2 linked regions of the Sus scrofa genome follow. The main gene of each other region encodes a partner of the protein of the gene in region 2 in a complex. Links are inferred from orthologs where the notes say so. Each region holds a gene or a part of one and is shown on either strand. Other genes may lie near its edges.

Evidence for each region.
Region 1: EXOSC2 (region 2) and EXOSC1 share a complex: the UniProt entries of both Homo sapiens proteins name them as parts of the RNA exosome core complex. The link is inferred for Sus scrofa from reciprocal best matches to the Homo sapiens genes EXOSC2 and EXOSC1.

The regions. Positions count from the first base shown.
Region 1 is NC_010456.5:108,836,663-108,839,835, forward strand, and holds part of EXOSC1 (exosome complex component CSL4), read right to left. Parts: intron 2,871-3,173; coding exon 2,782-2,870; intron 1,641-2,781; coding exon 1,607-1,640; intron 826-1,606; coding exon 775-825; intron 642-774; coding exon 557-641; intron 1-556. UniProt on the Homo sapiens protein: Non-catalytic component of the RNA exosome complex which has 3'->5' exoribonuclease activity and participates in a multitude of cellular RNA processing and degradation events.
Region 2 is NC_010443.5:270,746,938-270,751,440, reverse strand, and holds the start of EXOSC2 (exosome complex component RRP4), read right to left. Parts: upstream 2,908-4,503; 5' UTR 2,878-2,907; coding exon 2,756-2,877; intron 1,042-2,755; coding exon 940-1,041; intron 1-939. UniProt on the Homo sapiens protein: Non-catalytic component of the RNA exosome complex which has 3'->5' exoribonuclease activity and participates in a multitude of cellular RNA processing and degradation events.

The sequences.
Region 1 (3,173 bases), on a different chromosome or scaffold from region 2:
GATCTGCTTGAGCCCCTTCTCTTTTCAGCTGGGTAAGAACTGAACTGTCACCAAGTTGCATAGTGAACCTTACCTCATACAGAAAAATAACCTTGTTTATTTCACTGACTTATGGAGTAAGTGACTCTTTCACTTAGATTAGATGAGGAGGAATAATTCTTTTGGGGGGGGGCCCACACCCGAGGCATATGGAGGTTCCCAGGGTAGGGGTCCAATTGGAGCTACAGCTGCTGGCCTACACCACAGCCACATCAACGCCAGATCCGAGCCACATTTGCGACCTACACCACAGAGCATGGCAACGCCAGATCTTTAGCCCACTGAGCGAGGCCAGGGATTGAACCTGTAACCTCATGGTTCCTAGTCGGATTCATTTCCGCTGTACCACCCCCGGAGACTCCAGAGGAGGAATAATTCTGATCTCAGTAGTAAGTCCCTACACTCACATTATGTCCCAGATAATTAAAAAACAAGGGAAACAAGGGAAAACAACGGATGAACCCCAAAGCCTAGCTCCCAGGGAAAGGGAAGCACGTGGAGGTGTGGACAAACTCACCTGATTCACTGTGGGCTACCACCACTCCCAGCTCGTTTTCGGCAGTCGTCAGGAGGTAGTGGGACTGCGCGTCACCTAGAGAGATCTAGTCACGTCACACTGGTAAAGGAGAATAAAGGCTTCTATAAGTCTGCCCTCCCAGAGCCACCTGAGTGGTTTCCCTACTTCCATTTCTTCTTTTGACAAAAGACCAGAAATCTGCAGAAAATAAAGGATACGACTTTGGCCAATACGATGTCCCCTGGGCGGAAACTCTTATAAATTTCAACCTGTGAAAAAAAGAACCGGAGCGTTAAGGGAAAGCTCCCAGTCAGGTCTACATGACACTGTCAACCAACCCCTCTGGCAGAGCCACTTTCTTTCCAATCCCCAAGGGTTTGAGTCAATCAACAAATTTGAGTGCTTCTGTGGCATCATCACATAAAGATTTTGAACTCAGTAACCTGATCAGGAATCTGACCTGGACACAAGGTACTACAGTTGCTCTGACAGGGTCCAGGGTTAAGTCTGAGCAGTGAATAAAGACCTGGCTTAAGGCAAAGAGTAAGCCAGAGCCCTTCTGGTCAACGAAGTGAAAAAAAAAAAAAAAAAAAAAAACATGAAGAGGAAAGGGACAGTAAGGTGAATTCCACTTTCCAATAGGGAACACCTTGAAATTCCTTGGACTCGGAGTTGGCGTCGTGGCTTAGTGGTTAACAAATCTGACTAGGAACCATGAGGATGCGGGTTCGATCCCTGGCCTTGCTCAGTGGGTTAAGGATCTGGCATTGCCGTGAGCTGTGGTGGAGGTCGTAGACGCGGCTCGGATCCCGTGTTGCTGTGGCTCTGGCGTAGGCATGAGGCTACAGCTCCGATTAGACCCTTAGCCTGGGAACCTCTATATGCTGTGGGAGCGGCCTAAGAAATGGCAAAAAGACAAAATAAATAAATAAATAAAATAAAATTCCCTGGACTCTACGTTCCCACAGATTTTGAAACCCATTGTAATAACTTAAAAGAAACTGAAATTCTTAATGCCTGGGGGGGTGGGGGGAAGAATCAACCAACAACCTTGTCTTTTTCAGTAGCTCGGACATCTTCTTTCCTATTAAAAAAAAAATTAAAAGAAAGATTAATTACTTGCAAGAAAGAATTATCCTGCAACTTCTAGCTATAAGAGCAGAGAGACCAAATCTAACTGGGACCCAGCTGCCACCCAGAGGAGGAGATCGAGGTATCCTCAGTCCTCACCCGGAGAAAACCACATTTCCCATTCTTGGACCATATAGTGCAGCTACAGCAAAGCGAATCAACTTTGGCAGAAAGGGCTAAGGAACTTTGTTGCCTTAGGAGAGCTTGAACCAAAGCACCACAAAACCACACAGAACCCAAGGGTGGAAAGAGCCTTGGATGTTAAATTATCTAGCTCCCAGGAACTGTTAGTCCCGTCTCAAAGAACTCATAGGAAAACAAAATATAGCATTGCATTCATTAACCTTTTTATTGTCTTATAATCCTTGGGTTTAATCTATATTAAATTGAAGAAAAAAAGGTACTTCCTAAAATTTTTTCTACTTTGATAGGAATCATCCCCACAAGGCTAATCCCCAGCTTAGCTCTATTCATTTTATATTTTTAACTAATTTATTTTTCGCCAAGCCCTTGGCCTGTGGAAGTTCCTGGGGTCAGGGATCAAACCCAAGCTGTAGCAGTGACAACTTGGGATCCTTAACCTGCTGTGCTACAGCAAAACTCCTCTTTTTTATGTTTCTATTTTTTGTTTTTCTTTCTTTTTAGAGCCACACCTATGGCATATGGAAATTCGTAGGTTGGGGGTTGAATTGGAGCTGCAGCTGCCAGCCTACACCACAGCCACAGCAACACCAGATCTGAGGCGAATCTGCGACCTATACCACAGCTCATGGTAATGCTGGATCCTTAACCCACTGAGCAAGGCCAGGGATCAAACCTGCATCCTCATGGATATTAGTCAGGTTCATTACCCTTGAGCCACAACGGGAACTCCTCTTTTTGTTTTATTTAAATACTATCTCGTTAATATTTCCTTTTTGTCCTAACACATACAACATTTTCTCTGGATACTACTTGGGGAGAACCAATGCACAGAGACGAGAGAAGTAGGCATGAATAAGGATTCTAATTGTTCTTAAAAATTCCGGTCTCCCATTCTATCTTAATCTCATTCCAAGTACTGCAGCTAATATGAAGACAAAAATACTTCTTACCGGATAGTTCCTCGAAAAGAGTTCTTAAGTGGTGTGGACCCCACATACAGAATGTGTACTTTGGCAAAGCGTGAATTGATGCTAGAGACCTGGAATAGAGAAAATTGCAGCATTAGGCATTCCAGTATTAGTAGCTGCCAGCTCAAGGAGGCATGATAAACTAGGAATTACCAGGATTTTAGTCCAAGGCAACTCTACTAAGTGTAGAATTTTTTGTTTTGTTTTGTTTTTTGCCTTTTTAGGGCCACAGTGGCAGCATATGGAGGGTCCCAGGCTAGGGGTCCAATCTGATCTGAAGCTGCAGGCCTACACTATAGCCACAGCAATGTCAGATCTGAGCCGTGTCTGCAACCTACATCACAGCTCATGGCAATGCCGGATCTTTAACCCCC
Region 2 (4,503 bases):
ATGTTGCAGAACAAGTCCAGCAATGGAGCCTACCGCCTCTACCTTTAAAATACAGGCAGAAAATAAAAGGCAGCCAAATTGGAAAGGAAGAAATAAAACTATCTTTTCTTTTCTCACAGACATGGTCTTCTAGTACAGAAAATCCCAAGAATACAAAATCCAACACTTTCTCATGATGAAAACACTCAGAGCACAAAATACATGCCACCGTGGCCACTTCTGCCCACTCCTACTGCCATCACCTTAGTCTAGGTCAGCAGTGCCCTACCCCTGCCCCGTCCTCCCACAGCAGCCAGAGTGATTTCATCTAAACAGAAGTCAGACCAGATCCCTCCTCTGCCCTACCTCCTCCAGTGGCTTCCTAGATTTCACAAAGTACAAGTCAAAAATGCTTACCGTGTTGAGTTCCCTGGTGGCGCAGTAGGTTAAGGATCTGGCATTGTCACTGCAGCAGCTCAGGTCGCCGCTGTGGTGCAGGTTCAATCCCAGCCCTGGGGAATTTTCACAGGCCGCAGGCTCCTACCACTCCTGCCATCCCCCACCCCGCCTGCTCCCTCTGTTCCAGCCCCACTAGCTTATATTCCTGGGCTACCTTAACTGAGCCCTTCTAGGAGGCTCTGTGTGAGTAGGAGGCTCTGTGTGAGTACTTTGCATGCACTGTTCCAGTGCATTCCAGGGCAAATCCTACAAGGTAGGTCATGCTACGTCTCATTTTGCAGAGGAGGAAACCAAAGCTTGGGGAGGTCAGGTAACGTAGGGAAACCTCTGAAGCCCAAACCTACCTGTGGTCACCCATCCCCCTCCTTCAGTCACGTGCTCCAAATCACAGACCTACAGAATGATGGGGCAGGCAGGGATGGGGGACGGAGGGGGTATGCTGTGGCAGAAAGGACCTGGCTGTGCAATTCTGACGCCACAATACACACCTTTTGTTCTCACCTGGTTTTCAAAGCTTTTACACAGATCAGCTTGTTTACTCTCTCCACCGAGCCAGCCACAGACGCGATGAGCTTCTCTTCCCCCATATAGGTCCCATGGCCCCTGTGGCAACAGGAAGACACAAAGGACAGGGTTCAATCCCTGGCCTCAATCAGTGGGTTAAAGACCTGGCGTTGCTGTGAGCTGTGGTGTAGGTCGCACACACAGCTCAGATCTGGCATTGCTGCGGCGTAGGCCGGCAGCTGTAGCTCCAATTCAGCCTCTAGCCTGGGAACTTCCAAAAGCCTCGGGTGCGGCCCTAAAAACAAAGAACAGGAGTTCCCGTGGTTGACGAATCCGACTAGGAACCATGAGGTTGTGGGTTCCGTCCCTGCCCTTGCTCAGTGGGTTAAAGACCCAGCGTTGCCGTGAGCTGTGGTGTAGGTTGCAGACGCGGCTCAGATCCTGCGTTGCTGTGGCTCTGGCGTAGGCTGGTGGCTACAGCTCCGATTCGACCCCTAGCCTGGGAATCTCCATGTGCCGCAGGAACAGCCCAAAGAAATAGCAAAATAAGTAAATAAATAAATAAAATAAAAAAATAATAAAGTTTAAAAAACAAACAAACAAAAAACAATGTGTTCCTCAAACTTAACAGCCTCCTCCTGCCTGAAAGCCAGATTTTTGTGCCATGCTTCCTAAAACATTCCTTCTTTAATAGGGATACATGGACCACTTCCTTGTCTGACTCAAGTCTTCCCAAAGGTCACTTTCTCCACCTGTCCCTCGTCACCATCCCGTTTCTCATGTCGCCCACCCTGCTGCTGCCACGATCCCACCTATGCTGCTTACCTTGCTCGACTGTTTATTTTCTCTACTGCATTTACCACCAAATATTCTGAATCACTTATGCGTTTGCTGTGCTTATCGCTTATTATGTCTCTTCCAGTGAGAACGTAAACTCCACCAGGACAGAGATTTCCCCTCTGTTCAGTGCTGTGCCCTAACCACACATGATGTACATACACAATGAGCAAATGAAGGACTGACTCGTAAGATTTCCTGGGATCCAATAACCCCAAACTAAGAGGCTAAAGGGCAACGAATGTATCAATGCTGTACCTCTCCTATTTGTACAAGCACTTTTCCCCAAAGGGGGAAACAGGCTGAGCATCCACGAGTGTTAATCTATGACAGTGATACAATGGTGAGTTTTGCTTCTTTCCTTAATCGTCACCTCATTTAATCCTCACTACCCTGTTAAATAGTTAATATCACTATTTTAGGGATGAGGAAACTGACGTGGGAGAGGTCAGGAACCCCAGCTGTCCAACTCAAGAGCCTGCCCTCAGATTCAAAGCTGTACATTTGGGTGCATGTAACTCAACATACCTGCATGCTCTAAACCCAAACCATGACTAGTTCCAAAACCATGCACCTGGCTAAGAGATGATGCTGAGGGAGAAGGCGCACATGTCAAAAACGCCCACCGTCCCTCTCAGTCGAAAACTGTTAAGAGGCCCCGGCCCCTAGCCCTCCCCAGTTTTCCCAACGAGGAAGGCCCAGAATTTGGGTCTCAGGCAGAGCGATGAAGAGTCACGGAGATCAGGAGAGGAGGGTGTCGGCGGGCTGGGGCAAAGCAGACGGGGACACACACAAGGCAGGGAGCAATAAGCCCGAGGCTTCGAAAACGAGGCGACTAGGATGGTCGGCAGATGTGCCCTGGGTACCGCGAGGGCGTAGGGGAAAGAGAACGGAGGGCCCAGGTTTCGGCCAGCAAGCCACGTGCAGAGCAGTGCGGCCGCTCCTATAGCCCAGAGTCCCCCACGACCCCACGTACCGCATGAAGCCTGTGTCCGTGGTGATCGTGTCCCCCGGCACCACCAGGTGCTTCTTAGTCTCGCGCCCCAGGCTCTCGCTAAGAGGCTTGCGAGCGACAGGAAGCCTCATCTCCATCGCCATCTTGGCGCCAATAACTTGCGCAGGCGCAGCCCAACCCGAAGGCTTACCGTCCTTCTCAGCAACTCTCTGCCTTCGCTCGCGGGGCGGGGCCTCAGAGCAGCCACCAATGGAAACTCACGGACTCGCGGCCATGTTGGCTATTGGCAACCATTAGGTAAATGCGAAGGGAAGGAAGGAGCCGAGTTGCCATCTTTACTATTGGCGAGGCTGCACTTGTCGAATGGTACAATCTCAGGTTGTCTGGCATTTGACTTTTTGCCAAAACCCTCTTGTAATCATCATGCCACTTACTGTTTTCCAGGGTTAGAGATAATTGAGAAATGGACCTTTGCGTTTCCTCCCACCTCTAAGCTGCTAAAATCTGATTTTTGGGTGAGGGAGGTATGAGATTGCTCAGGCAATGGGATCTACAGAAAACACTATCTGAGCCCCTTTGGGAACCGTTACTAGTAGCCTCTGTATTCTGCATTACTTCCGCCTCGTGTCTGCTGCTTCAGGAATAACCACCACCTGTACCCCCAAACAATGCTTCAGGTGCTGATTCCGTTCTGCCTAAGTGAGCTAATTAACCCTAATATTTCTTTTGAAAATTCGAGAAACCATCTAAGAAAACATTCGGACCTTGGCAGGTGGGTGTATTTGGAAGGAAGGACAAGTGCCTATTTAATACGAGAATCTTTGCTTATATTTACTCATGCAGCGAATTGAACCAGGAGCTGTTCTGAGGGTTCAGTGGTGAACTGATAGGTGGATATGTGGTTTTATCTCTGGGTCAGAAGCATTTTCCCCATCCCTCTCCCCACTTCCCACCAGCCCCTCCCTCACCCTTGCCTTGCATGGTTTAAAGCATCCACAAGAGAGTTCGACCTCAGGGAACTGGAGATGATAATTCTTCATACAAGGGACTCTAAAGAGGATTAAGGGAAATAACTCACATCAGTACCACACGCTAAGCTTGGTAAATCAGGTCTGCTGCCTCTGAAAGTCCATCAGACCAATAGATAAATACACCTCCAAAAGGACAGCATTTTTTTCACCTAAGCATGGCTCACAACTACATCTGTCAAGAAAGCCAACCCTGGGAGGCAGTCAATGAAATAAATTCTAGGGCCCCACAGGTCATCAGTAAAGGGGCAGGCCAGATACTTGCCCTCTTCCTTGCCTGGAGGAATGGACTAGAGCCAAGAAAGTTTAAGGGTTCATCTGCTGAGCCTGGCCTCTGCCAGAAGAGGGCAGTGTTGTCCTTTGAGCCAGCAGAGCTCAGTCCACTAGGCAGCTGGACCTGGGAGTGCATCTATACCAAAAACTAGGGTATAGTCTTGACAACATCCAGTTTCAAGGAGGGATGGACTTAACCTTAACCCCTCCCATTCTCAGGGCACTTAGGTTTATGGAGCCTATCACAACGTTGGGATTATGTTTTATGTTTGTTTCTTTTTAGGGCCATACCACCAGCATATGGAAGTTCCCAGGCTAGGGGTTGAATCAGAGCTACCGCTGCCAGCCTACGCCACAACGTGGGCTCCTCCACCCACTGAGTGAGGCCAGGGATCAAGCCCACATCTTCATGGATACGAGTCAGATTCGTTTCCGATGCACCGCAATGGGAACTCCCAATGTTGGGAC